Elephas maximus indicus: one gene and its partners. The protein of the gene in region 2 binds, or shares a complex with, the protein of the main gene of each other region. Links are inferred from orthologs where the notes say so. Each region holds a gene or a part of one and is shown on either strand. Other genes may lie near its edges. The genes, in order: TAF13, TAF7, GTF2B and TAF11.

Region 1 (7,281 bases), on a different chromosome or scaffold from region 2:
CAGACCTTCTGTTAGCCCAAGACAGGAACCATTCCCAAAGCCAACTCTTCAGACAGGGATTGGACTAAACTATGGGATAGAAAATAATACTGGTGAGGAGGGAGTTTCTTGGATCAACTAGACACATAAGACTATGTGGGCAGCTCCTGTCTGGAGGGGAGATGAGAAGGCAGAGGAGGTCAGAAGCTGGCTGAACGGACAGAAAAAGAGTAGGTGGAGAGAAGGAATGTGTATCTCGTTAGGGGGAGCACAATGAGGAGTATATAGCAAGGTGTATATAAATTTTTGTATGAGACTGACTTGATTTGTAATCTTTCACTTAAAGCACAATAAAAAAAAAAAAAAGATTACAACCTTGGAAACTCTATATGGCAGTTCACCTCTGTCCTACAGCACAGAACCTACTCAGATGATATTAGTTTTCCACTAATGTCCTTATCCTGTTCCAGGATCCAACTCAGGACCCCACACTGCATTTGGCTGTCATACCTCCTTCATTTCCTACCATCTATGACAGCTCCTCAGTCTCTCCTTGTCTTTCATAACCTTGACACTTTTGAAGAATACCGGGTTTGTCAGATGCTTTCCCATGATTAGGTTGAGGTTATGCATTCCAGGGGAGGCTATCTGCCTTTCTCAATGCATCATATCGTATCAGTATATATTACTGGTGATGTTAACTTTGATTAATTGGTTAAAGTGATATCTGCCAGGATTTGCCCCCTATAAATTTACTATTTTTCCTTAAATATCTTGAGAGATTATTTTCTTGCTCTCATTTTGATGGGTGGAATTCACCGGTAGGGAAATATGTTTCTCTGGAAAAGGGTAATTTATATTAGAAGTATATAAACTGTATTTGGTATAAGGGTTTATAAAGGCATGAACAAATCCCAGTGAATGCTCTGAAACATCTCATGTTATATTAAAATTTTTCTAAAAAGAGGATTCAGGAAAACAGCTCTTGATCACTAAGATATATGAACACTCAGGTAAGACAAGAATGCTGTGAAGATTCCAAATTCTTGTCATCACAAAGATAACTGACGTGGAACAAAGGTCTCTGCTAAGAACTAATTATGCAAGCATCACTCCCAGATGCTCTGTTGTGGGGTCCCCTTTCTTATACTGACATAATAGTTATTAAAACCACATACAAATGGCATAAGTAGCATCAGAGATGGAATAAGGAGTGGTCAAGTAAGCTCTGCGTTAGGGGAGGAATTGAGATACAGAGAAGGATTTATGTGGTTTAAAAAAAAAAGGCATACTGACCCTGTGATTTCAACAGTATTTGAGAACTGCTCATGTCTGATCCAGGATAAATACACCAGGTATTCATAAATCTGTGTTGCCTCATCTGTCAATACCCATGGTCATAGCTACATTTAAAAGACCCTGGAATGGGAGATGGAGAGCACATTCTCATGGTGCCTTTGGACAAGGGGGGGTATGTCTTGATGATCAGTACTCACAGCAGCTCTCCTTCCCTCTTGCCAAAAAGGGTCAAAACTGTCTACTGAGTGAGCAGGATAGAGAATCGATACATTTTATCTCTGTGGCACTGTAATGCCTCACACTGTTCACCTGCCCTCCTGCCTTGTCCACCACCTCAGTCCAAATCCCCAACTTTGTTCCTACTCTCAAGCACATGTGTTCCCAGGATTCACCTGTGACTTACAGTCAAAGGAGTTTTTGCTCCTCCTGCTGCAAAAGGGAAGGACAGGAAAAGTAATGGCGATATGTTTTTACGCGCTGAATTGAAACACTGGTCACATGTCCTCCTTAAAATATACATAAAAATTGGGGTTAGGACCATTACTATCCAAAAGTTAAACAGGATGTTATAGGCAAGTGTGAGAACATTTTACCTACAGGGAAACATATTCAGAACGATAAACCTACTTTGATGAATGGATGTGTCCAAAACTTTGTATCATCTATAATAAAATCATTGTCAAATACAACTTACATTCTTTAGAAAAAAGTCTCTTTCTTTTGCCCTGTCCACCTTCTGCACCTCCTCCAATTTCTTCATTTTCCTCCTCAAACTAGAAGTTAAAATGTATATATTGAAATGTCATATGATTGCATTGCATTTGATTTTTAATGATTACCATTTTTTTTCCCATTATCAACACTGGTCTCAGACCAGAAAGCCCCACAAGAAGCAATAAATCATGAAACCTTAGCAATGACAAGGCCTTAAAGACTATTTAGTCCAACTTCTGACTCATGAGGAATGCTTTCTACATTGTTCCTAACAAATAATCCCACTGGCTCTCCTGAAGAGTTCCAATGACTGTAAGTTTTTTTTTTTTAACCAAATTGACCTATTGGTAGACAGTGTTACTGTCAAAAAGAGTTGTACTGAATCGAAGTTTACCTCACTGTAGTAAGCAAAACTAGTATTTACTAAGCATAGTACTAGGAGCTTTACTTAAGTAAGCCTTAACACCATGTTACAAGGAAACCGAAGCTCAGGGTTAAATAACTTGCTCACAGAGAAAACAAATTTTGAAATCCAAGCTCCCTGATATCGGTTCATTATTTTTTCACTACTTTAAAGTAAGTAAAGTTCTGTTAGTTGAACTGCTGGCTCATAACGAGCTCTAACAAATATTGGCTTTGAACTCTAATGATTCTCTACACGCTCCAAAAGGTGTCTGGAAGATATGAACCAAAACCAAACGGAAAGGTGCTACCTTCCTACTCTTCCTTCACGTCTTGCCCCACGTACTAAAAAGATGAATCCTAAGGGCTCCCTTCTTTTTTGTTTAAGGGCGAGGCGCGAGGTCCCCAAACTTTCTTGGTTCAATCACTAAGGCAACAGACTTGATTCTGAACTCGGCCTCAGAAGCCGCCGCTACTGAGCCTGAAGGAGTGAAGAAAAGAGAGAGTTGGCACAGAGGCGGTCACTCACGGTAGGGTCTTCTTCTTCATCTGCCATCTCATCAGTCAGCCAACCTCTCGCTCTAAATGGGTTTTACTACTTCCGCCTCCTCACTTCCTGTGACGTCAGGCGCGGGGCGGGGCCTAGCCGGGCAGCCGCCGGGGAGGAGTGCCAGTAGTCCTGTCTGGAGGCCTAACGGGAACAATCTCTAACGAAAGAAGGGCGAGGTCCGTCCTTCCGAGGAAAGAATTAAAAAACAGCAGAGAGAAGGCAGTCATGTCTAGGTGGCGTGTATTTCGTCGTCAGCCTACATTTGCTTTTAAGTTGGGAACTACTGTTTTCCTGATTCGGTACTGCCATTGAGGGACAAGCCAGCAGTCCTTGAACTGATGGAAAGCAAAAACAAAAACAAACCTGTTGCGGTCCGATCGATTCAGACCTATGGCGACCCTATAGAACAGAGTAGAACTGCCCCGTAGGTTTTCCAAGGAGCGGCTGCGGGATGTGAACTGCCGACCTTTTGGTTAGCGACCGTATATCATTTAACAACTGCACTACCAGGGCTCCTGAATTGGTTGAAGGTGTATTTAAACAATTTCAGCCATTTACAGTTCCACTATCATTTATTGCCAAGTACAGTGTTAGTTATTGGGGATATTGTGCTTCGTTACTAGTTCTCAAGGGGCGATACCACCTCCTAGGGTTTTTGATCATGAAAAGGAGCCCTGGTGACTCAATAGTTAAGCGCTGGGCTGCTAATTGAAAGGTCGGGGGTTGCAACCCACGAGCCGCTTCTCCCGAGAAAGATGTGGCAGTCAGCTTCCTAAAGGTTACAGCCTTGGAAACCAGATGGGGTAGTTCTATTCTGTCCTATATAAGGTCACTGTGAGTCCACGACAATGGGCGATAGGTTTTGGCTTTTTTGGACGTAACAATGATTAGGAAAACCAAGATCATTAGAGGGCCAGGGCTAGGAATATGAGATGTCCTGCAATGCTACAGATGATGCCAAATGTGAAAATTGTTCCGTAATACACACGATTTCTGAATGTCCTACTGAACATTCATGTGAGTGAAAAAACTATATTATCTGAGCTTAGAACCTAGCTTTGCTAACATAAATACAAAAATACTTCCCTACACTTTTAATGTACATTGAATTTTCTAGGAATGCTAGTACCCCGAAATTGGTTGGTGTCATGGATTGAATTGTGCCAATCTATGTCATCTGATGTGATTTTCCTATGTGTTGTAAATCCTATCGCTATGAGATGATTATTAGCAGTTATATCGATGAGATCTACAAGATTAGATGGTGTCTTCAGCCAGTCTCTTTTGAGATAAAAAGAGAAGTGAGCAGAGAGACATGAGGACCTCATACCACCAAGAAAGCAGTGCCAGGAACAAAGCACATCCTTCGGACCCAAGGTTTCTGCACTGAGATGCTCCCAGACTAAGTTGATGATAAGGACCTTCCTTCAGAGCCGACAGAGAGAGAAAGCTTCCCCCTGGAGCTGACACCCTGAATTTGGACTTCTAGCTTACTAGACACTGAGAGAATAAACTTCTGTTTGTTGAAGCCATCCACTTGTGGTATTTCTGTTATTGCAGCACTAGATGACTAAGACAGTAGGTGTATTGGCTATTTATTGCTGTGTAATAAATTACCCAAAAATGTACTAACTTAAAACAACATCTATCACACAATTTCTGTGGGTCAGAAATCTGGATGCAGTTTATCCGGGCACCTCTGACTCAAGGTCTCTCTAGTGTTGCAGTCAGGGTGTTGTCTCATCTGAAGGGTCAATGGGGAAGGATCCACTTTCAAAATCACTCACGTGGTTGTCAGCAGGATTCAATTCCTTGAGGGCTGTTGGACTAAGGGCTTCAGTTCTTCATCAGCTATTGGAGTCCTCCCTCAGTTCCCTGTCACATGGTCCTCTCCATAGGACAATTCATAGGCATATGAACTGATTCCATAGGCAGCTGGCTTTTCTCAAAGAAGGTGAGCAAAACAGCCAGGGAGACTATGCAAGGCAGGAGACACAATCTTTTTGGAACTTAATCTTGGAAGCGATATCCTACATAGGGTGAGAATACCAGGAAGCGGGGATCACAGTGGGCTGTCTTAGAAGCCACCTACCCTAGTAGATCCTATTATCTGTGAATTTCATTTTCAGGATAATAAAAGGGGCATTATATTTGTTATTTAAGGGGGATTATTGAGTTCAGTGGAGCCCTGGTGGTGCAGTGGTTAAGCATTTGGCTGCTAACCAAAAGGTCAGCAGTTGGGATCCACCATCCACTCCTTGGAAACCCTATGGGGAAGTTCTATTCTGTCCTACAGGGTCACTACGAGTTGGAATCGACTAGACAGCAACAGGTTTGGTTTGTTTTTTTTTTTTTGGTATTGAGTCCGATAGGACTGAGAACCACTATATTAGGCAGTAATGAAAGACTGGACTTGTCCAGGGGGTCAGGTATGAAATATTCCCAGTTGTTAGGGATTGAATTGTGTCCCCCCGAGATGTGTGTCAGCTTGGCTAGGCATGATTCCTGTTATTGTGCAGTTGTCCACCATTTTGTGATCTGATGTGATTATTCTATGTGTTGTAAATCTTCTATGATGTTAATGAGGCAGGATTAGAGGCAGTTATATTAATGAGGCAGGACTCAATCTACAGGATTAGGTTGTATCTTGAGTCAATTTCTTTTGAAATATAAAAGAAGCGAGCAGAGAGGAGAGGGACTTCATACCACCAAAAAAGGAAATGCTGGGAGCAGAGCAAATTATTTGGTCCCAGGGTACCTCCACAGAGAAGCTGCTAGATCAGCAAGAAGACTGATGACAAGGACCTTCCCCAGGAGCTGACAAAGAAAGAAAGCATTCCCCAGGAGCTGGCGCCCTGAATTCAGACTTCTGGCTTCCTAGACTGTGAGAGAATAAGTTTCTGTTTGTTAAAGCCATCACTTGTGGCATTTCCGTTATAATAGCACTAGATGGCTAAGACACCAGTGTTCATTCAGGGGAGTGGATAGGTAAACTGTGCTGGGTGCACACCAAGGGGTACTATGCAGCAGTCAGAAGGAAAATATTAGCAACATGGATGCAGCTTAAACACATAGAGCTAATTGGTGTGGTGGCTATAAGAGCTGGACGGCTAACTGAAAGGTCAGCTGTTTGAACCCACTAGCCATTCCACAGGAGAAAGAGGTGGCAGTCTGCTTGCATAAAGATTACAGCCTTGGAAACCCTATAGGGCAGTTCTACTCTGTACTATAGGATTGCTATGAGTTGGAATTGATGGAACAGCAGTGTTTGTTTGTTTTTTTAAGTAAAAAAACAATACACAATGAGAACTATAGCATGATACCATTTATGTAAATTAAAATTATATGCACACAAAACAATATACATTTTACAGGAACATATAAACAAAAGCATAGGCATTAAACACATTGGAAACGTTGCAGGGTAGGAGGAATAGGAATAGGGATAAAAGGAAATAAATAGCTTAATAACATGAGAAGGGCTTTGGAAGGGCCAATTACAATAGTCACAAACCATGGGGCATGAATAATTATACACTGAACCTGAAATCCAAAATAGAAAATAAAGTGAAAAAAAAGTTGCAGCACGATGAGCAGAGCAGAAATAAAACACAGAATGAAAAGTCACGGCATGTTTCTACAAGATGCTCTGGATGGGTTGCCAGAGACAAGTTTGTTGGGTAGGGATACAGGAAATGAAGCTGGGATGAGGCTGGGATTAGACTGTGCAAGGCCTTGACTTGAGATGACCCCTGGGCATTCATTACCCTAGCTATGCCTCTGGTGGGGTAACTTTTTGTGAAATAAACATTATTTTAATTGGTTTCTTAGCTTCTTTTCTTCATTGTTCCTCTAGTCAGATGGAGACCATTTGCTGTACCTTAGATACCTGCTTGCTCACAAGATTTTAAGACCCCAGATGCCAAGCAGCTTCCCAAAAAACAAACCCATTGCCACTGAGTTGTTACCAACTCATAGTGACCCCCTAGGACAGTGTGGAACTGCCCCATAGGGTTTCCAAGGCTGTACTCTTTACAGAAGCAAACTGCCACATCTTTCTCCTGCAGAGCAGCTGGTAGGTTCAAACCACCAACCTTTTGGTTATTAGCCGAGTGTACCACCTGGGCTCCTTATGTCAAATAGTTTAGTAGCTTGATAATAATATACAGGTAGTCCCCCAATGACATATTAGAGTTAGGAGGAACCACACTTACAATCATCCTCTTTTTTTTTTTTTTGTACATCTTACAGTTAGTAATATGTACTGAGAGGCAGATTATCCACTAAGCAAGTAACCATAGTGTTTACCTTGCTTACCAGATCATCTGTAGCAAACA
Region 2 (7,438 bases):
ATTTTGAAGTATCAGACTATGATACTGACTTCCTTTATTAGTAATTTTGATAAACTGACATGGGTAAATTACTCAATTCTCAGATTAAATAACTACAGGAATTAAATGGAAAATACTTAGAAATAATTCTAATTCAAACCAACAGATTTACTGATCTGCACTTGAGAATCATTATTTCCAACACTTTAAGCAAGTGACTTGAGTGCTTTAAAAAAAAAAACAAGGTATAAGTAAACCTTAATCTATGAACATGAAGGTAGTTTTGGAAGGTTCTGTACCTTTTGTCTCCTAATCTCCAAATAGAATTGGAAATTTAATACAAAGCAATTTAAGACATTTCCCAATTTCCTTGCCCCTACTGTGTTCTTTTACTCAAAACACAACATAGCTGCTGCTTTAGCTGCAAAGGACCAAATTGCTCAGTCATTAAACCCCACCAAGAAAACACCCCAGGAGAGGCTCTCACTCCCACTACCTGTGAAAGAACAAGACACATTATGCAGTGAAAATTAGCTACTTTTATTTACTGTGTTAGAAACAACTTCATAAAACGATTTGCAACTCTACATGTGGAAATGTTTGCTTTTAATAGCTGAGAAAGGACCTAGTGCACAGGAAAAAATTTGCAAACTAGCTTCACTGCTTCTAGGCTAGACTCTTACTGATCTCAGATGGCACCACAAAGCAGTAGTAACAGCTTCTAGCAAACAGAAAAACAGCAATGTCCTGCAATGAAACTGTGATTATTAAGGTTGAATTGTTCATTCCACTAAACCTACAACTTTCCTACATTTTTCCATCTATACAATCCTATTTCCTACAAGATAAACACCTAGCCTAATGGTTTAAAAGGGATAGTTTCAAAAGAAGGTAATGGAGGGAATAGGGACTACTACAAGAACATAACAACCAGTCCAAGGTTTTTCTTTCAGTGGACTGTCTAAAGACAAAGTAACAAAGCTCCTCTTACTTCTCTAAGAGTGAGTCTAGCTCTTCCTGCAAAGAGCTGAGCTGCTCCTTTTCTCGGTCTTCCTTTTGTTTGAGTTCATCCAGAACGGCCTGGAATCTGTTCTTGAGAGCCAGGTTCTCCACTTTCATGATGAGATCCTCCTGTCGTTTTGCCCTGTCCTGAGTCTCCTGGAGCTTGCCTTTCACGTTATCAATTTGTTTCTGAATTCCCATAACGAGCTGATTGGTTCCTTCATTTTCCTGGTGCTGTTCATCCGATTCATTTAGCTTGTCCTGTAGCTGTCTCTCCAGGTCTTCCTCAGTGTCGATGATGTTTATATCCTCCTCATCTTGATGCTGTGTCTCATCTTCATCTTCACTGCTGCTGCTGAGGTCATTGAATATCTCTCGAAGCTCATCATGTTCCAATGAGTCATGGCCCTGCCTGTGGCCAGACATTCCCGGAGAGGCGATATCAAGGCCCTGATTTTCTGTCTCTTTTGTCTCATCTTCAGCAATTATTTCCCAACGAGTACTGACAGCTTCGGCATCTGTACTCAGCAACCTCTTCACTTCCTTTTCCACATCTGGAGATTCAATATACTTCTTTTTTGCTGTCTTCCTAAACCTTCTCTTTCGGACATTTTTCAGAGGCAGGGTAATTCCATGGTTCCAGACAAACTTTTTCTCTTTGTCTTTATCCTTTTTCTTGCTTGCTTTGGGATCAGCGGCAGCAACTGGCTCTTCCACAGGAGGATAGAGATCACCATCAACTGTGGCTACAAGCATCTGACAGACATCAGCTGTCTTGTAGAAGGTTTTTTTATCAATGGTTTTCAAGCTTTCCATAACGCAGGGCAGATCTACCAATTTTGCGGCCAACGGAACCCGGTCCACTCTGACAATACCATGACGACCATCAGGGTGTAACTCAATTGTCAGTCTGTCTTTCAGGTTGACATGGCCAGACTGTACTGCCCGCCTCACAGTCGAGGCATATTCCGGAGGTAGGCGTAAGATAAACTGGCTCTCTAGTTCATGAGGAGCGTCGTCTTTGCTCTTACTCATCCTGATTTCTCTGTGACTCACTTCTCTGGTAATAAGCACTTGCTTCAATATAAAATTCCAATTACTGCAAAAGTTAAAAAAGCCACTTGTTATGAACTGAAATCTTTTAATTACAAAGAGTTCTAAGCAGAATAGCAGCTAAGCGTCTATTTTGTCTTAATTCTGAATTAAACCCCAGGTATTTTCTCTAAATATGCTGTGACTGGATACCAGTCGTTACTGACACAAATTCGCTTATTCAGTTACTTTCATTTAAATCAATTAGATGCAAAGTCAAGCTCCAACCTCTAGGTGCCGCTGCTGGACAATGCAGAGCGAGCTAGCAAGCAGGAAAGCAAATGGCGGTTCCCGCCGAAAGCTTTTTCGGCACAAAGAGCAGGGCCCAGCAGACACTCCCAATCCACAAACTCTCCCGGAACAAAGATATTCAAAAAGCGAGCGCAGCGAGCTCTCTTCGTCTCGAGTACTTACCATCCAGTGACGATTACAAAAGCAGCTTCTTCGGAAAGGAGCAGACGGAAAAGAAGCCGCTCGGAGCAAGGCGACTTGGAGCCGAGAGTCTCCCTGATTCCCTTTGTTCTTCCCGGCGCTCGGCAAAGTGATCCGCTGCTGATTAAAACGAAAGACCTCAGGACGGGCAGCGCGAAAGCTCGCCGAGATCCGAAACTCCGAGAGCCAGACACAGCAGCTCGGCAGCTCGGCAGCTGGGCAGCTCAGCAGCTCGGCAGCCCAGCTGCAAAGCAGCTCAGCGACCCCAGGTCCGGAGCTGCAAAACGAGCCGGAGCAGGAAGCGCTACGTCACGGCGCGGGCGGGAAGCGGCTGTGAGTGACAGCACGGTCCCTGCGGAAGTGCGGGCTGGCCATGCGCGCGCAGGCGCAGTTGGGTTGTCAGGCGTGGAAAAACTTTCGCGAGAGTATGGCCTTAACGGAATAAAAGCGAGAATGTTTCATAAAGAGTTATTGGTTTGAAAATATTTAGAGAAAACAGTTCCAAGAAAGACATAGATCCATCCTTCTTTCCTCCCTCCCCTATTAAGTCCGGGTTTTTACCGGATTGCTTTGGAGCCGGACAGCGTCTAGGCTTCAGGGCGATTCCGGGAGATAAACGCGTCGGTGCCGAAAGCGTCTTTGCTTCTGGCAAAATGTCGGGTCCCCACCCCCCACCCCCGCTCCCGAGGATATCCCATCGAGTGGGTTTTAAAGTACCGAAATCAGTGCAATGAGGAGGGCAGTGTTGCCCACTAAATAATTCAATGTCTACATTTTGTGGATTTTGAAAATGCCCAGAGAACCCGTGATATCTGGATCTATTTCTATTCTGAAGAATTTCGGGGAAACAGGGGTGATTTTTCCTTTTAATGCGTTTGACGTATATATAAATGTAAACAGAAATAAGTGTTCTTCTGAAGGCGTCTGTTCATTTAGGACAGAATTGTCTCGTAGATAATCTGTTAAAGTAGTATATATATACTGCCCCTCACCAGTAGTATTTTAATGAGTCTGGAAATCACTTTGGAATTTTTTTCACTCCACTTCTACTATTTTGCTCTTTTCTGCCTATGTCTTCTATGGGAAGCCAGGTATTTATCAACAACTACGACGGCAGTGGGTTTATGTGTATAGTATTTCGGTGAACTATGTGACAGTTTGCACTTATTCCTACTCATTTCCATTTGTTTTTTAAATAGGTAAAGCATCAAGGTCATTTAGAATTTAATTCCTATCCTTTCTTAAGGTAACTTTCTTAATTTAAGAAAACACTCTTAAAATCTCATTAACATTTCCAAAATTGCTTTATTTATGTACATTTTTATTGTTATCACCCCAGACTAAAATCTCAGTCTTAGTCAAGACCTTTTTTATCTTGTTCTTTGTGTTCCAGTGCCTAGTTCCAGAACACAGGAGTTACACACACTCACAAAAATTGCTAATTGAACAATTTAATTGATCCATCTAGAAAGAACATAAATATAAACAATCCTATAGTTATTTGTGAGAGAAAATAAATGATATAAAACCACTTTTTTATATATTTCTAATACATAAAGTTATGCTTTTCCATCTAGTAAATGAGAGGTGAAGGAGATTTACTAATAGTGTATGTGAATATATCCTCTTTTGTGTAGGTAGACTGTGTTCCTGTATCATGGGAGTAAGTTAAAATGGCCTGGCACCAGTTTGATTTTTTTATGTTAATTTTGAAGGCGCAATTATGCCCTCCCAGAGGACTGCACATTATTTCACTTCGTCCTACAATGTGTTCAAGAATGTTAGCTGACTCGTCCTTAATTTCCAGGATGATCTATTTCCTCTTTTGTGATGAAATTTTTTCAGTGTGCTTGTTCCTCAATTATAGCTGATTTTATAGGTGTAAGAATTTAACATGCTGACTTCTGTATAATCCTTTATTTAACCATGTAAAATATTAGGCCATACTTATATAAAAAATATACATGACAATAATCCAAGAATTATTTTGCATTTTAATTCCCTGTGAGTTTTATGATGCTCAAATATTCTTGTCATCAAAAATAGATTGAGATAAATTCTATCAAATTCAGATTTTCCAAAATTAGGAAGTGTTTTAGTTAGTAAAAGTTTAAATGGAAGACTGTGTGAGATAATTAAGGGATTAGCTGAATTACCCTGAAGTACCTAGCCCCTTGAATCCTGAAGCATAGTATCTGCTTTTGATTGTAGCACACGATCTAAATGCTATGTTGTATTGTGAGGTGCGGTGGAATCAGTTCCAACTCACAGTGACCCTGTGTACAGCAGAACAAAATACTGCCTGATCCCTCACCATCTTCACAGTCACTGCCATGTTTGAGCCCATTGTTGCAGCTGCTGTGTCGATCCATCTCACTTAAGGTCTTCCTCTTTTTTGTGGGCCATCTACATGCTGTACTTGGGGTGAAATTATACCGACCTTAAAGCTAAGATCTCTGCCATATCACCATCACCTTAATGTCCATTGATTAATCCAGTTGTTTCTTTCAAATCCATTTAGACAGAAAAACACAGACTCTGACTGGAAAGAATTACCCTCCTGTGGTTGCTCCATGGAGTATCTGTGATACCAGTGAACCAAAGATTTGAGGAGAGTGAGAAATTGTCTAGTGTGGTATCAGTTCCTCCAAAGCCTTCCTTTGTAGCCTTTAATAAAAGCACTTATGATAAATGAGCATGACAATCAGGCTACTGCTAATACCATACATTTGAAAATTCCCTTTAATAAACTTTCAGCTTCTTTGGAGGTTAAATACAGGTGAAGGGAGAAGTCCTGCTTATATTTTGGAAGTAGAAAATTACAGGATGAGGAATAGCAAACACTCCTCCCCTCAAAAAAGAAAAAAAAAATTAAGCTTATTTACTGCTATATCATTTGTTTTTTAAAAATCAGGTTACCTACAAATATGAACAACAGTCTCCTATATCAAGTAGGAAGCTCTCTGTAGGGGTAAAAAAAAAAAAAGAAAGAAAGAAAAACTAGTATGCACTAGTTTAAACAGTAAGAAAATTTATTATCCCAGAAAACAGGCAGCATTGTCCAATAGAAATATAATGAGAGCTGCAAATACATGCTACATATGGCATTTTAAGTTTCCTAGCAGCCAGAATGAAATGGTAAAAAGAAACAAGTGAAATAAATTTTAATAACCTATTTTATTTAATCCTATATATTATCATTTCAACATGTAATCAATATAAAAACTATTAATGATGTATTTTACATTCTTATTTTGTACTAAGTTTTCAAAATCTCGTGTATTTTACGCTTACAGCACCTCTCATTTTGGACTAGCCACATTTCAAGTGATCAATGGCTACATGTGGTTGGTGGCTACTATATTGGATAGCACAGGCCTGGAAGTATGGCTGGCTCTAAGCAAAAAAAAATTATGGCCTGCACAATTTGTTTTTTCTCTTCCTAATTTTGAAAAAGTAGCATTTATTTCTACTTTTTCCGTTATTGTTTCAGCTCTGCCCTCATCTGCCTGTAAACATTCAAGCTGGCTACCACTGTGTGTGGTCATAAAGTGACTGCCAACAATAACTGGGGAATTTCCTTCCTTGTTCATGGCAAATTAAGAGAGTGGCTCTCCCCTAGCCAAAGTCTTTCTTTCAGTCTGATTGGACCAATTTAGGTCATGTTTCTATCCCTGGTTCAATAGTAGTCCCTAGGGTAAGACCCTAAACCCATGCTTCTCAAGGTGGGAAGGGGTATATTTGGTAATGGCTGGAGACATTCTTGGTTGTTACAACCCGTGGGGCTGGGCACTTCTGGCTAGACATCCTACAAAGTACAGGACAGTTCCCACAACAAAGAATTGTCTGGCTTAAAAGGCCAGGAGCACAGAGGGTGAGAAATTCAGCCCTAATCTTATTATTTTAAGCCTATATTCCTAAGCCAGGCACTGTCAAAAGGAATGAGATTACCATTATTGGCTTATATTTATCAGGATCTAATTTAAAAAAAAATTTTTTAATGCAGCTATGAATAGGTTCAGCTTCCTCTTAGGAAAGTAGGGGGTGGAAACCTGAACTAAAAAAGAAGTGTTAGAAAAGAAGATGGGCAACCAATAGTATCTATTAAAGAACTGATTGTTTTTGGAATGATAAAAGCATGTATGTATTGAAAAAGTCTGGATAGATATCAAAATATATATCAGTGATTATATAATGCCACTACGGGTGATTTAAATTTTTTATCAGTATTTTCTACCTTTTTTATAATGAAAATTTCCTTTTTATATCATAGAATTTCTTTTTATAATGTAGAAATCTTTTTACAATGGAGAAGTTATTGAGTAACCCATTTTTTAAAGAAAAGGAAGCTTTGTTAGTATATTGACTTCTTCAAAAGTAAATGTCAGAAGGGAAGATTCCGTGAGGATTCTTATTTTAAGTTAACGTGAATTTTAAGATATTAAGAAGACAATGTTTTATTTCCATTTTTGTGGACTGTTTTATTAACGTTTGGGCAAAAAATAAATAACTATTTGCACCTTTTATACTAAATCAACTGAAATTTTAAAATAAGTCCGAACAGTCTCTAAGGAGGGCTTCAGAAACAACGTGCGGTAGATACCGTGTTAGGCCTCTGGGTGCCGCTGTCCCCCAATCGGTGGCTAGACTAAAGCAGAGCAATCCACTGGCGATTCTGACGCGGCGATCTGCTCGAGAAAGATCTCTGCAAGCTCTCCTGCAATCTCTTCCAAATATCTTGTTTAGGTACGTCAGGATATGTAATGACCCCGATTAGGCGCTGTCTTTTCTTTCCAGGGCATTTTTGTAATCCGGAAGAAACCGTAGCGAGTGTACTCAGCTCTGAGAAGGCGCGCGGAGCGTCAGGAAGTACTGTGTCCCTTCCGCTGTCTTTGTTCTGCCTAGTGAACTACGTAGCAGATGCACTACGAGG
Region 3 (7,710 bases), on a different chromosome or scaffold from region 2:
ATTTATGTAAACTTGAAAGCAGGCGTCAGAAGTCAGGGCTGGTACTCTTTGGGCAGGGGAAATGATTGAGGACACAAGGGAGGCTTCTGGAATGCTAGTGGTGCCTGATTTCTTGACTTGGGTGGTAGCTATGTACGTGCACTCACTGTGTAATAACTGAGCTGTGCACTTAAAATTTGTGTTTACATTAGGCCCCTTCTTGGGGGCATGGAAGGTAGGAACACATACACATGTTTGTTAAAGCATAAACTCTCTAAGACAACACCAAGAAACTAGTTTAACAATGGCTGCTTTGGGGGCGGAGTAGATGGCTGGGAGCCGGGGAAGGAGGGATACGGTGTTCCACTATATACTCTTATGTACTTTTTATTTTGCACTATTTGTATGTTTTATCTATCCAAAAATAAAAACAGAATCATGCTAAAGTAGTCAACTTCTAACCAAATTGCTCTTCAGAGTAATATAAAAGAGGAACCACGTAAGACGTGGGATGGTGGGAGAAGTCAGATAAATAATAGGGAAGAAATGGAGAAAACAATCATTACTACCATTCAAACAATTCAGACTATCTAATACGTCAAATATTGCCAAACCTCATTTTATAGCCACCAGCAAGGCAAGATAAATTGAGATACTCTATGTCACGTGCTTTACCGGGTGTCTACTATGTGTCTTGTTCTATATATACCCATTGCTGTCAAGTCAATTTCGACTCATAGCGACTCTATAGGACAGAGTAGAACTGCCCCATTGAGTTTCCAAGGAGTGCCTGGTGGATTCGAAATGCCGACCTTTTGATTAGCAGACACAGCTCTTAACCACTATGCCAACAGGGCTTCCATGCTATATATACGTTATTATTAATCTTCACAACAACCCCGCATGATAGGGATCATCTCTATTTTAAAGGTCATGTTCAGAATAACTTGCCTAAGGTCACAGAACTAGTAAGTGGTGAAGCTTAGATTCGAACCCAGAACATTTGTACTCTTCTCGGTGAGAACACCAAGCAGTTCCATTGCCCATTAACTGTGCATCTTCTCCAAGGGAAAAAAAAAAATGCTAAAAGTAGAAACACTAACATTTACTATTTGTTCTTACTTGTAGAAAAAAAAAATCAAGAGCTGGAATAGAGCAAGGACACATAAAATTTAAGAGTTGGCTATGTCTTAAAAAAAAGTTTATTGATTTTTTTTTAAAACAAATGAAGAAAATAAAGGTGCACAAAGGCAAATGTACTACTTGGGTAAAGTATTGTGACTTTACTAATGATCTGTATTATTTAACTAGGGCTTTGAATGTCTGCTCTGGTTTGACCCCTGTTGAAAAATAGCCTTTCCACCCCAGATATACTGAATCAGAATCTACATTTTAACAAGATCAGTAAGAATCACCTGGGGATCTTGTTAAATGTGGATTCTGACTCAGTATATCTGGGGTGGAAAGGCAAACTCTCAGCAGGGGGCCAAACATGCCAAATTGGTTAGAAGCGCTGCATTTAACTACTGAAACATTTTTTACGAATAAAATTTCCTGCTATAGTATACTAAATGCAAAATTGTGCCCAAATAGAATCACATTTACTTCCATGGTCTAATGCCATGAAAGACTATAAATTGTATTTTGGTGATTTGGGGAAGTTAAAGTTTCCATTTACATAGCAGAAAGGAAGTGTTTTCTGGGCTGACAAAACCACACACAGATAGAATGATTGAGCATTCAATCACAGAATTAGAATCAGTAAACAAGGGTGTCATTGGCCTTAAGGACTGTTGCCAAACACCTAAACAGGCCATTAGCTAAAGCAGCTCTCCTCGCTTTTTTTTTTTTAATACAGTAACATAAAATGGTAAGTCCTGGCAGACACTAGAAAGGGCCTGGATTTCTCCAGCTTATGATGTTTGATCAAGGACTTTCATTGGGAACCCAATTCCACACACATACACAAATAACAGAATTGCCTTCTGGAAGTGCTGCAGAAATTAATTTGAAACTTTCAATACATTTTGAGTTAACCAGAGGCCAACTGTGTGATAATAGGAACCAGGTAGCTTAAGTTTCTACACTCTGTTCTAACTTTGGAAAGGTCAACACTGGCATGACTCAGTTTATGAAAATACTAATATCTACCTCATGGGGTAATAAGAGATATAATTAGGGTCTGCATGCATTTTTTAGGTCACTAGATTAAAGGCTGTGTCTAAGGGCACTGCATACATTTCCTGTAGATATGGGTGCACTTAAAAAATAATGTTATCTAGTGACATCTCAGCATATGTAAGTAATTTTCTGCAGACAGAATAAAATTTTCTTCAGTACTCCGCAGAGACATTTGTAAAAAGATCTTTTAAAAGGGAACTAATCAACTTTTCAGAAATGCCCTAGCTTCCACTTCGTGGAGTAGCTGAGATGATAACCAGTTTCCATCCGGCTTACCCAACGTTGACGTTTTCAACTCTTCAGCTATCAGATCGACAGGGACCGGGAACTAACCCTTTCCCGCTCTTTGGAAAGGAGGACTCGCGGCCCCTCAGGCTGGCTGAGCCGTAGGTGGAAAAATATGCGTAGAAAACACTGACATGAAAAAGAACGGTTGAAATATGGGCAACAGGCTAGGCCAAGAGCTGGGGACACAGGGGACCAAAGACGGTGGTGCTCGGGCGAGAAGACCCCACAAAGGAAACTCTTGGGAAGACATAGGACGCTGGGGCTATAACGCCGACGATTAGGTACCCCCTGCGACATCCTGACAGTCCTGCTGTCTGGAAGCGTCACTGTCCGGGCCGGCCAGCCAGTCCCGTTGCACCTTCCCAGTATCTCCGGCCACTCGCTTCGCCCTACGCGGCTGCTTCATTGGCCGTCTAGAGACCCCCGCCCCTCAGCTAGCCGGGCACCGTCTGACATACTAACCGGCTGGTAGACGCCATCTTCACAGCCACTGCGGCTTCCGAAACAAGGAACAACAGCAGCACTAAGAACAGGAAGAGACTGGCGACACAACGCTTGGAGACGGGCTTTTATAGGCAAATCGCTCACGCAGTCGTACTAGGGCGCGGCTACGGGTCGGGAGATAGGCCAAGAAAATTGAGATCCCGAGTGACACGTGCTTTGCGTTTTCTTATTTATTTATTTTTTCCGATATTTGCCGCGTTGTTGGGTAAGTCAACGAAACTACCTAGAGAAACTCTCAAAGGAACCCTGCAAACAGGCTACACCAGAGCTACCCTCAACCTGACTAAGTTAAAACACGAAGAAAACTCCGGCGTCGAGGCGGAGACCAAGCAAACCTGTATCCCACAAAGGCTTAACCCTCTTCCGGAGAGTCGGTTACTGTAGTTGGAGTACTATGCTAACTTGCCCCCAGGGATGATTATTTCTGACTTAGAGACCTGGAGTAATGAGAGAAAATCACTTAGGTAAGCCAGCACAGGCTCTGTCGTCAGCCAGCATGCTCTGTCTTGTTAATCACATCCCCTAGCCCATCCATGCAAAGGGTAATAATATCTGCCTTGCATACCCTTTTAGAGGAGGCAGGAGATTAAACAAAAGCATGTGAGAGCACTCTGCCGCATGTGAGACAGGAATATGAGGGCCCTGCCCTGACTTTTTTCATGCCTTTTGCAAATTTGACTGATACCTGAAGTGTAGAGAACTTGGCAGAACATCTAGATATGGCAGAAGGTCCCTACATTTATTCATTAGCCAAACTAATGTCTGAATAGTAATAATAACAACAATAATACCACCCCCACTTTGCCGAGAACAAACCACCCTTGACCCTGAGGGGACGGGACAAGAGGGGGTGCTCCAGCGTTTCAGTGGTGATGAGGACTTAGAATATAGTGGCTGCTTTGTTCATGTGGTGATGGGACTTAAATGCCACTGAGTGCACATTGTTTTCTTAAGAAGGTGGGAGAGACTGTATTCCTTAGAAAGAAGAAGGGATGGGAGGGGAAGGAGTTCAGGAACTGAAATCTATATGGGGATAGGAGAGCCTGTTTTCCTTCTGTCTGTCTTTTCCAATCTTCCATTCTAGAATTCTGTAATTTAAAAACTTCACTGTACTCTTGTAAGTTTTTTTCTCCCTTAATATTTGGAAATAGTAAAATGTTGGTAATATTCTTTCTGTCTTAATATTTGAAGAAGAATGCAGCATCAGGATTGGAGGAAGACTACCTGCGATATGCAAATGACACAACCGTCTTTGCTGAAATGGAAGGGGACTTGAAGCACTGAATGATGAAGATCAAAGACTACAGCTTTCAGTATGGATTACACCTCAACATAAAGAAAACAAAAATCCTAACTGGACCAATAAGCAACATCATGATAAATGGAGAAAAGATTGAAGTTGCTAAGGACTTTGTTTTACTTGGATCCACAATCAACACCCATGGAAGCAGCAGTCAGGAAATAAACAATGTATCACATTGGGCAAATCTGCAGCAAAAAAAATCTCTTTAAGGTGTTAGAAAACAAAGATGTCACATTGAGGACTAAGGTGCTCCTCATCCAGGCCGTGGTTTTTTTCAATTGCTTCATATGAATTCGAGAGCTGGACAGTCAGTAAGAGTTGATGCCCTTGAATTATGATGCTGGTGAAGAATATTGAATATACCATGAGCTGCCAGAAGAACAAATAAATCTGTCTTGGAAAAAGAACAACCAAAATGCTTCTTAGAAGCGAAGATGGTGAGACCTTGTCTTAAATAGTTTGGACATGCTATCAGGAGGGACCAGTCCCTGGAGAAGGACATCATGCTTGGTAAAGTAGAGGGTCAGTGAAAAAGAGGAAGACCCTCAATGAGATGGATTGACACAGTGGCTGCAACAATAGGCTCAAACATAGCAATGATTGTGCAGATGGCGCAGGACCAGGCAGCATTTCGTTTGGTTGTACGTAGGGTTGCTATGAGTCGGAATCGACTCGCAGCACCTAACAACAACAATAATATTTGGAAAAGTTTTCAAAACTCCAACGTGTTTCAGGTGTGCCAAGTGTAACCAGGAAAGGGCTTGGGGGTGCTCTGCCCCAATCTGGTGGGAAGTTTTCATGGTAGAGCAGCTTAGCTTTGAGGAAAAGGAGGGAGAAAAGCAGGAGGGCCAGTGGGTGTCATCTTGAGGATCAAGAACAAGGACGGTAGGCATTCGATAAATGTTTGTTGAATGAAGAAACCATCAGAGAACAAGAAATCTCAGAGGGAGGCAGAGTGACTGGTTAAATTACTCCTGTCGCACCTAGAAAGGCCCTTAAAAAAAATTTTTTTTTTTTAAATTGTGCTTTAGATGAAGGTTTACAGAGCAAATTAGTTTCTCTTTAAATAATTAATACACATATTGTTTTGCGACGTTAATTGCCAATCCCACGACGTGTCAATACTCTCCCCTCCTCGACCTCGTATTCCCCCTTACCAGCTTTCCTGTCCCCTCCTGCCTTCTTGTCCTTGGCCCTGGGCTGGTGTGGCCCATTTAGTCTCATTTTGTTTTATGGGTCTGTCTAAACCAAAGGGTGTACCTCAGGAGGGACTTCAGTACTGAGTTAAAAGGGTCTCCAGGGGCTGTACTCTTGGGGTTTCTTCAGTCTCTGTCAGACCAGTAAGTCTGGTCTTTTTGTGTGTCTGTGTGTGAGTTAGAATTTTTGTCTACATTTTTCTCCAGCTCTGTCCAGGACTGTCTGTTGCGATCCCTGTCAGAGCAGTCGGTGGTGGTACTTGGTTACCATCTAGTTGTGCTGGACTGAGTCTGGTGGAGCCTGTGGTAGTGGTGGTCCATTAGTAAAAGGCTCTTATTTGTCAGACCTTGTAAGGATTTCTGTTTTATATTAACGTTAAGCAACTAAGCAGGTCCTTCCTTTTATCGGCATGGATTGGCAATTTATAAGTATTTCATCAACATTAAGCCATTTAATCATTCTATCTGATCCTGAGATTAAGACAAACACACACGCAACTGGGATTTTACCACCTAGGAATCAATGATCTATCTAGACTAGTATTGAACAAAACGTGATTTTTGAGTAACATTTTCATTTTCCTTTTTCCATATCCATGCACCACCTGCACTAACATTTTTATTTAAATTACTTCATCCTTTTAACTTAAAATTTTATTTCAAAAGTTTATATTACTACTATAAAATCACAACTTGATATGCTACTTTAGTTCTTATAAGATCTAATATGCTTTACATACCTAATAAAAGATAAGAAGTTTGTGAGCCACCTAGGCTTAAAAAAAAAAAAAAAACTTTATTGAGTTATAATTTATATACCATAGGATTCATCCATTTTAAAAGTAGAATTCAGTGATTTTACTAATTTTACCAGCTTGTGCAACCATCACCACAATCCAATTTTAGAACATTTTCATCACTTCAATAAGATCCTTCATGCCCATTTACAGTTAAACCCAGTCCACCCTCAGCCCCAGAACCGCTAACCTACTTTCTGTCTCTATAGATTTGCCTTTTCAAGACATTTTATGTGTTTGTCTTTTGTGTCTGGCTTTTTTTTAACATGGCAGAATGTTTTGGAGGCTCATTAGATTTACTTTGCGACTTCACTTTTGGAGATGCTGATGTATGTGTCTGTTATATAAGTGTCTGGTGATGTTGGCAAAGTTGGCAATTTTCCTGACTTAAGTGGGCTTTGACAAAGTTTTTTTGGAAATTATAAGACATTCTGCTGGACTAGGAAGAATGGGGGATTCGGTGCAATCTACAACCAGGTCTGACTGGACTCCATCAGAACTGGGATGAGACCTCTAAAATATTACACCAGTCTCATGTGCCTGTTAGCTCAGGGGTCATATGTACTACTTCTCGAAACCTCAGGGGTTTTTTAGATTAAAAAAAAAAAATTTTTTTGTCACATATGAAAATGTTCAAACATGCTCAAAGTTAGAATAATATAATGAATCTCCATATACCCATCATCCAGATTAAACAATTAAGATTTTGCCACATTTCTTTCATATATCCCTTCCTTCTCTTTTTTTCTCCCTTGGCTAAAATATTTTTTTAAAAATCCTAGACGTCACCTCAACCCATATATAACTTAGTATGCATTTCTAAAAATTCTGTTTTTTTAAAAAATATTTTTACGTAACATTATAATTGTTAGTTGCTAATGAGTCAGCTCCAACTCACAGTAACCTTATGTATAACAGAACAAAATGTTACCCGGTCCTGCACCATCTTCATGATATCGTTGATATGTTTGAGTCCATTGTTGAGGCTATTATAATACTAATACTTACTATGACAATACTTAATAAGTTACCAGATATAATCTTTACACGCAGTTGGCCATTGTCCTGGGCCTGCTTCTTGGTGGTCTGGTTTTGCCTAGGCAGAAGAGTAAAAGTCCATCTGAAGCTAGGCAGTGCACAAGCTCCAGTAGCAATGAGCTCTCCTGTTTCACGCTTGCAATGCAGAGATATTCCTCACCTCTCCTTCCCCTCCCCAGAAGTAATATGAGGTGCCTATGTTGTAAGGCTCAGAGGAAAAGGACCTGGGGGAACAGCAGAGCCTCACAGAAACTGGAGATCGATTTTGACTGTTCATCATTTGAAAGTTAGCTTTTTTATGTCCTGATCTATTTTTTTCTGAGTAGAATAGATCTCTAACATGTAGGTTATCCAGTGCAGTTTTCCAGGATCTTATTCTTAAAAATAAGAGAACTCCTCACACTCCTAACCCTGTGTTAGTAGA
Region 4 (8,016 bases), on a different chromosome or scaffold from region 2:
ACTAACTTTTCTACTGTATCAAGCAACCTTTTATTTCCCTTTGCTAGAATGAAAACTATTGAAGATAGTCTCCTACTATTTATAAATCTCCCCCATAAACATTTAACAGACTTTTACTCATGCTAGTTGTTCAATAAAATTCTGTTTAATTAAAAAATATATATATATATACACACACACACAAACTTTATCCTCTTGAAGTCAATACAGAATCTAAGGGTACAACAAAACTCACGAATGAGATTTATCCTGTTTCCCTTAAAGAGGAATTCACATTTAAACTCATACAGGAATATGGGAATGGAGGGTGGGTGGGAGTGAAGATAGACATGCTTTTCAAATTTCTTCTCTAGTTAATGATTTATATAAAAATTCTAACCTCTTTGTGCTTCAATTTTGGTGATTTATATTTTCCTAGCAAATCATTCATTTTTCTTAGATTTTCTATGAGTCGGAATCAACTCGACGGCAGGTTTGGGTTTAGGTTTTCAAATTTGTTTGGCCTAAACTTGAACATTAAATTTTCTCCTAACTTTAAGGATCTCCATATCAGTGCTTATAGCCCCTTTCTTATTTTGTAATGTTGTACGTTTACATTTCAAATAATCAGGTCTTAACTTTATGATTTCTTAACGTTTTTCAAGGGCTAATTCGCTAATGTTTACTTTTATCCTAATTAGCTCTTTGTTCCTACATTCTTCTGGTTTATTTTGCTTTTTTTTTTTTCTGATTTCTTGAGTTGGGTGCTTATTTTCGATATTGTTCACTCACTAACAAAAATATTTAAGGCTGTGAATTTTTCTCCAAGTTAGACTTTGGTCAAATTCCATAGTGTTTGATACAGACTGTTCTTTTTGTTAATTTCTTTAAGGACTATTTAAAATGACCCAGTGATTAGTTTATTGTTAATTTCAGGATTTACTGCCTTAAGTTGGAACCGACTCTAGGGCAACTAACAAGAATAACAATTGCACTGTACTAACAGAACGTGGCCTATTATGATTTCTACATTTATGAATTTACGTTTCTCTTTGTGGCCTAGTACATGATCAATTTTTAAAAGTGTTTCAGAAGTATCAAAAAAGAACCTATATTCTCTGTTGGCTGCAAAGTTCTATTTGTAGTGAGTTCTCTATTGCTAGGTGGTGTTATTAGTTGCCATCTAGTCAGCCTGGATTCCTGGGCGACCCTATGTAGAACATATTGAAATGTTGCCCAGTCCTGTGCCATCTTTGTGATCACTGGCATGTTTTATCCCATTGTTACAGCTATTGTTTAGCGCCTTCCAACCTAGGGGGTTCATCTTCCAGTGCTATGTCGCACAATATTCTGTTGTGATCCATAGGGTTTTCACTGGATAATTTTCAGAAGTAGCTTGCCCGGCCTTTCATCCTAGTCTGTCTTAGTCTGAAAGCTCCATTGAAACTTGTCCACCATGGGTGACCCTGCTGGTATTTCAAATACCGATGGCATAGCTTCCAGCATCACAGCAACACATAAGCCACTACAGTACAACAAACAGACAGATGGTAGAGCTCTCCATTGGACCAAGCTAATTATTATTTAAATCCTTTCTGTCCTTGGGACATCTTTTAAAGGCTCTTTCTTAAAATAGTTTTTGTCACATCTTTTTTTCTAAAACTTACTTTGTATATTTGGAGGCAACTTTGTGCCCCGAAAGGCTATTTCCATCTAATCTAATGTGGATTCCACGATCTCTTAAGTCCTTTCTAGCTCTAAGACCCCAAGATTCTATCTCTAGAAATGAAACACAGAGAATGCTGAGATTCTGGTCACTTGGCAGATCCTCAGCTAGGCAACACTCTGAGCTCTGGGGGTGGCATAACCGATGGGTCTGACGTTTTTATGCTCTATAGACTCTTTGACATTTGCACACAGGTCACTGTACTTGGTAGCAGTTAAATGTCCCAAGAGAGTAAGAATGTCTCTCTTCAAAGTCTCCTTTTAATGGGATCTTATCGGTTCTGTCATCTATAAAGACAAAAGTTATGCTTAACCAACATCTAAGAGTGCCCATGGGTGCACTGGTGGCCCAGTGGTAGAACTCTCCCATGCGGCAGACCCAGGTTGGATTCCCGGCCAGTGGACCTCATGCACTGCCACTCCCTCAGTGGAGGCCTGCCTGTAGCTATGATGCTGAACAGGTTTCGGTGGAGCTTCCAGAGTAAGACAGATTTAAGGCCTGGCGTCTACTTTAGAATATCAACCAATGAAAACCCTATACAACCCAATGGTCCAATACAACCCATCATGGGGATGGTGCAGAACCGGGCAGTATTTCGATCTGTTGTGCATGGTGTTGCTATGAGTCTGGCCGACTCTATGGCAGCTAACAAGAGGACTCATATTTTGGTGAAAAAGATACTAGGCCAATAGCCGGTAATCCTGGGTTCTAGTACTGGCTCTTGCACTAAGTCTCGATGTGACATCGGGCCCTAACTTCTTCACCAAAGACTGTTTAAAATTCCCTTAGAAGTAGTTTAATTCCTAAGAGTAGGGATTAAAAATATTAACCCTGTACGTGGGCCTCTGGAATGTAACCAGCACTAGGCTTTTTTCCCATGACTGACGATCTAGACAGTGTTGTGAATTTGAGCTCTTGTAGCTTAGGAGGGACCAACCAAGAAGCCTGGCGAGCACCCAGTAACCTAGTCTCGGTGTACTCCTCCCGCCTAAACAACACACCTCCCTACCTCGCCTTCTTCCACCGGGGTTTCTTTCAATTCCCCATCTCCGTCCCCGTCAGCTTCCTCGGGTATTCCGTCCGTGTTGGCGTTCCCGGGACCCAAGGGAGCGGCGGGTGTCTCATTTGACTCCCCTGTCTCTCCACCTTTGTCCGTGGGCGACTCGCAGGCATTGTCCATCTCCGCGAGAGGCGGAGAGTAGACCGCGGCGCTGTCAGACGCGGGAGCGCTGAACCCCGCTCGGCTCAGCAGCCCCGGAGCTTACTTCCTGTCGTCGCGCTGTGATGACATCACCCCTACCGCTCGGCGGAGGGGTCAATTGGGGGCACGTAGAGCGGCTTTTGATGATCTGTTTTAACTCTTGTGGGGCGGTGGGGTGAGGGAAAATTGGGGGTACGGAGTTCAGTTTGTGGATCCTTCGCTCCGGGGTAACCAGCTTTTGTGAAGGCGCGCACTTTTGTTTACTGAAGGGCTTCTTTTTCCTTTCCGCCTTTTAAAAAATGCAATATCAGTTAACCCCCTCGTTAACCTGACTCGCTGAGTAAAGAAGCTGCGGGGATATGGAAGGAAACTCAGTTCCGTTGTGTGCTCGTGCCGCGGGATGCGGCTGCCTTTGACTGGCAAACTTCCAGGCAGAGACTCAACCGCGTACGTTTCAATTAAACAGACTGCGGGCCCGGGTTTACAATGAGTTGCTAACATTTCTATTCCGCATGCACTTAAAAAAAAAAAAAAAAGTAATACTAGATTGAGCAGAAACTATCCACTGCATTTATTCACTCCACAACTCTTGAGCGCCTACTTCGAACCAGGAACCAGTGAACAAAACAGTTCCTACCCAATTAAATGATGTTTACAACTTACCAGTAACTGGAAAGTTCGGGGCCGGTTTCACAAATCTGCCTTTTTATGTCAGTTTGGTTAATCTCATAAAAAAAAAAAAAAGGAAACAAATCCTTTCGGGGTCAAATTTTCTCCTTTGATGTTTCACTCAATGAGCCATTTCAGGAATTGGGAGGACGAAGAGGTGAGAATAGATCTATTTTAAAACCTTCCTCTGTTTCCTCCTTCGAGCTCATTAATAAAGTCCGGGAAAAGGGCACGTTTTATTCACCTATCACTAGGTCCCCGCGCCCATTAGATATTTAACTTGTGCGTGCTTAAAGAATAAACTTGGGAATGTAGGTGCGCGTTACCATATTTCTCTCTTTGTTTCTGCACTGCCTGGATGAATTACCGTATTTCCTGTCCCGTGGGCTCCCAAAACCTTCGGTAAAGGAGCGCACTTTGGGAGGCGTGTACAGGTAGACCTCGTTTGTCCCCTTCCACTTGGATAGCGAATGGCCACACGGTGTCGTCCCCTGGCCCCTCGAGCCCTATCCCTACAGCGGAGTCCACTTCGCGTTGGCCCAGCCACCTGAGCCCGCCCTCCCAGCCCCGCCCAGCTAGGTGGGCAAGGGGGCGGGGCTCGGGGGCGCGGTGACGCGTGACGCCAGATCCCGGAAGTGACGCGCGCGTGGGGAAAAGGCGGGGGGGAGGGGGGTGGTGTCCCCGGCCGGTTTGGGGGGTGCGTTGCCCGGAGACGGAAAGTTTGGGAGCCTGCTCGGGCTCTGCTGCGGCCCCGGGGCTGGGGTCTAGGGGGCGTCGGCCCTGGGGATGGGGAAGGAGCAGGAGCTGCTGGAGGCGGCCCGCACCGGGCACCTCCCGGCGGTGGAGAAGCTGCTGTCCGGGAAGCGGCTCTCCTCCGGCTTCGGCGGCGGCGGAGGCGGCTCCGGGGGCGGCGGCGGCGGCGGCGGCGGCGGCGGCGGCGGCGGCCTCGGCTCCTCCAGCCACCCCCTCTCCAGTCTGCTCAGGTGGGTACGCGCGGGGACCGGGCCGCCGCCTGGAGATCCCCCTCTCCCGCCCATCTCCTGGTCCCCAGAGAGGTCGGGGCTCCTGAGACCTGGGCGGGGTGGGCTGCGGGTTGAGCGGGGCGAGGACAGGCGGCCCACCGGACCGAGAACTGGAGGGGGCGCTGGTCCGGGTCCGCGCGGCCACGGGCTTTCCTCCCGTGTCCTACCCGGGTGCGAAGAATGGTGGGAGTGCCCAGGTGGCACCCTCCGCCTCATGGCACAGCTCGGCTTCACCCTTACCCGGTATAGGGTGCCAGCTGTGGCATCTCACAAGCCGATTTAGAGCAAAAAAATAAGTATTTTAAACCTCCCTCACCTCCTGCCGAAACTCCCACGCCTTGCAGAATTTCGCGGCTCTCCTGGAAGAAATTCTGTTGATTCTTTAGGAACTTAAAACCTTCTTCCAGGCTCTGCAGGACCTGGCTTTTGTTTATATTAAAATTGTCTTTGGATTTGTCAGATTCAAAGTGTTCTTCTTTGAGCCCGCCTTGCGCTTGAAGTTCGAATTCTAGTTCCTTGTACTGCACTTCACTGGATTAGTCTGTTAGTGACATATGCAGGATTCATCAGGGGATTTATTCATCAAGAAATAAAGATTTAGAAAGAGTTGTTTAGGAAACGGAGGGGTTCTTTAAACTTTTCCAAGATCTGTTGTTAAAATAAACACTTAGGTCTAGAGTTGAAAGGATTGAAGGAAAAGGCCACTGTTTGTGGCTTGGAAGGGGGTTTGAAGGTCCTTCGTCACTGCGAGTTAAATTTTGTTATTTCAGCAGCGCTTTCATACCCTGTTTTCTTTTCCTTCCTTGTTCTTTGAGGTTTTTAAGATGTGGAAGTTCATTTAGAAATGGCTTCGTTAGCATTTGTTCCCCATTAGTTTATTTAACTGCGATTTGAATGTGCTTGAACGAGGTTTTAATAAATTGTTAAGTTTTAAACACTGAGTACCAACCCAGGTGTATACAGAAGGATCTTAAAAAGCAGTGTAAGGGAACTAACTCTCCCCAGGAGCGTCTTTTGGGAGGCAAAACCGTGTGCTATTCACTGCTGTCTCCCCATCCTGTAAAACAATGCCAGCACATAGTAAGTACTAAATATTTGACGAATAAATAAAACCATGAAGTAGAAAACCATAAATTTCTAAATAAACTGATTGGTACTCGCTGTAATTGTTAGTAGTTTGGAGAAAGGAGAGATTGCTTTTGGATGACATGGGGGTCAGGGGAGGCTTCCAGGAGAAGGGGGACTTTAGCTGGCCTTGAAGGATGCAAGGACTTGGATAGGCGAAGTCCTGTGAGCTAGAGCTTTCCAGGTGGGCACACCATGGTTAGAAGCACAAAAGTGGGAAAGGAATGGCGCTAGTGGAACGCTAAATTAAGCCAAACCCATTGCTGTTGAGTCAATTCCAACTCTTAAGGAGAATTTCCCACCTGGAGCCTTGACTGTGGTTGGGTGCGATAAAGCAAAATAATGGATGGATCTGAATTCAGAATGACTTAGCCCTTCTCATGTTTATATTTCCAGCACTGAGGTCAGTGCCTGACAACTCACAGGTGCTCTGTAAATGTGCATTGAATGTACGAATCAGGTTTTGAGTCTTACCTGGATTACTTCCATACTTTGCAGTTATGATGTCCGAGAGATGGGGAAAGACTATAGAAGTTTGGAGATGTGTCTGCCTCTAATGAATGGAAAGATGCAGTATTTGGAGGTTTGCCAGAGATGTCTTAAACCTGCAGCATACTCTGCTGAAGCGAGAAACTTTCATATATCTCCTCCCCCCAAGTACAGGTCAAGTCACTCTTAGTGCCCTCGTTCAGGGACTGTTGGAATTTTGTTGAGATTTAGCTGTCACATAGTTTTGCAAGACTAGGAAATCTCCGTTGAGCACAGTGTTTTTACTTTGGGCCTCATGCTCATGTATGTGTTCTGTGTCTGTCATAAAGGGTGGGTGGTGTCTCCATTCTCCTGAGTAAAAGAGCTGACGCCTGACTTACTCCTGTGTGTGGTGTTGAAACAGCAGAAGGCCTAGAACTGCCCTAGCCTCTCATTCCTGCGACTCCTGGGGGCAGGGAGGATGTGCAGGCACTAGTTATAATAGGTGTGTCATTAATTACAACCATCTCAGTGGTGACTCTGGTTAAAATGAGTGAAAGATTTCTGAGCAAATGAGACCATGCATTTAAATAATCCCAGGTCAGCATGTCCTCCCTTTTTAGGCTTAGAAATAGTGAAAGGTAGGCCCTCTGTACCCCCACTTCAAGGACCCTGAGTTAGCTGTGGAGTCATAACGTTAATACGGCTATAGAATCAAAACTTTAGAGTTGGTTTTTGTCTTAGCTGCCGTCTCCCACCCCACCAGTCCTGCCAACTGCAATCCTGCATTGGTGCAGCTCTTTGAGTGACTGAGTAAAACTGGCAGGAATGGGGGCTTAAAGCTGCAGAGGGTATAAATGTTCCAAACCCCATGTGTGCTTATGTTTACTCATCTATTATGACCCTCCTTATTCTACAATGGCTTTGTACTTTGTGCCCCCTTCTCTCTGCCCGTCTCTTCTCTCATTCTACTTGGGCTTAGGTCTTAACTTCTTAAAGCCCTCCCTGATGACCCTAATACACACAGATGTCTCAGGCTTCTACTTTGGAATATATCATCTGTAGTGTTAGCTTACCTATCGACAATTCTTTGCTTGCCTAGCTTTCACAGTTTATTGCTACTGAAAATACACCCGAGAATCAGAAAGTCAGCAAAGATTTCTAATAGAAAGAAAACACATAGATGAAGTTCATATTCTTCCAGCCTAACTTATATTCTATGTGTTTATTCAGAGGCAGTATAGCATTCTGCTTAAGACCAGTTGTTCCGCACTTAGACTGCCTGGATTTATGTTCCGCTGCCACCACTGCGTAGCTACTGGACTTTATAAGAGTTACTTAACCACCTTGAGCTTTAATTTCTGCATCCATAAAGTGGGGGTGATATTATCTGCCTTAATAGGTATTGTCTTAGATGATGTGTGTAGGGAACTTTCAGCAAATTTGTGGCACATTGTAAGTGCTCATTGTTAGCCATGCTCAGTTCAGTTCAGCACATACATTTTTGCCGTACCTCACCTGCTATGTGCAAAGTCCCATGCGGGACACATCCTAAATGGTGTACTTCCACACTTGGATATCTTTCCAACCCATAGCAGAGTAGAAAGTAAATAAGGAAGAGGACCTGCTCAGGCAGGCACATTAATGCCATTCATTTACCAAGTGTTTACTCATCACCTACTTTGTGCCAGGCCAACTGCTCAATGCACTGCAAAATTTCTCTCATTCCTGGCACATGGTAGGCACTCTACCAAAATTAGTCCTTCTCCTGATACATGGGTGGTTCACCCTTACAGAGTTTGTAGTAGTATATGCCTGTGTGACAG

Evidence for each region.
Region 1: TAF7 (region 2) and TAF13 share a complex: the UniProt entries of both Homo sapiens proteins name them as parts of the TFIID basal transcription factor complex. The link is inferred for Elephas maximus indicus from reciprocal best matches to the Homo sapiens genes TAF7 and TAF13.
Region 3: TAF7 (region 2) and GTF2B share a complex: the UniProt entries of both Homo sapiens proteins name them as parts of the TFIID-containing RNA polymerase II pre-initiation complex. The link is inferred for Elephas maximus indicus from reciprocal best matches to the Homo sapiens genes TAF7 and GTF2B.
Region 4: TAF7 (region 2) and TAF11 share a complex: the UniProt entries of both Homo sapiens proteins name them as parts of the TFIID basal transcription factor complex. The link is inferred for Elephas maximus indicus from reciprocal best matches to the Homo sapiens genes TAF7 and TAF11.

The regions. Positions count from the first base shown.
Region 1 is NC_064821.1:172,516,801-172,524,081, reverse strand, and holds the start of TAF13 (transcription initiation factor TFIID subunit 13), read right to left. Parts: upstream 3,012-7,281; 5' UTR 2,951-3,011; coding exon 2,924-2,950; intron 2,052-2,923; coding exon 1,973-2,051; intron 1-1,972. UniProt on the Homo sapiens protein: The TFIID basal transcription factor complex plays a major role in the initiation of RNA polymerase II (Pol II)-dependent transcription.
Region 2 is NC_064820.1:154,654,545-154,661,982, forward strand, and holds TAF7 (transcription initiation factor TFIID subunit 7), read right to left. Parts: upstream 2,827-7,438; 5' UTR 2,488-2,826; intron 2,081-2,487; 5' UTR 2,017-2,080; coding exon 967-2,016; 3' UTR 504-966; downstream 1-503. UniProt on the Homo sapiens protein: The TFIID basal transcription factor complex plays a major role in the initiation of RNA polymerase II (Pol II)-dependent transcription.
Region 3 is NC_064821.1:138,982,667-138,990,376, forward strand, and holds the start of GTF2B (transcription initiation factor IIB), read right to left. Parts: upstream 3,019-7,710; 5' UTR 2,928-3,018; coding exon 2,911-2,927; intron 1-2,910. UniProt on the Homo sapiens protein: General transcription factor that plays a role in transcription initiation by RNA polymerase II (Pol II). Involved in the pre-initiation complex (PIC) formation and Pol II recruitment at promoter DNA.
Region 4 is NC_064819.1:97,761,243-97,769,258, forward strand, and holds the start of TAF11 (transcription initiation factor TFIID subunit 11), read right to left. Parts: upstream 3,003-8,016; 5' UTR 2,886-3,002; coding exon 2,715-2,885; intron 1-2,714. Other genes in the region: ANKS1A (ankyrin repeat and SAM domain-containing protein 1A), read left to right, coding at 4,362-4,558. UniProt on the Homo sapiens protein: The TFIID basal transcription factor complex plays a major role in the initiation of RNA polymerase II (Pol II)-dependent transcription.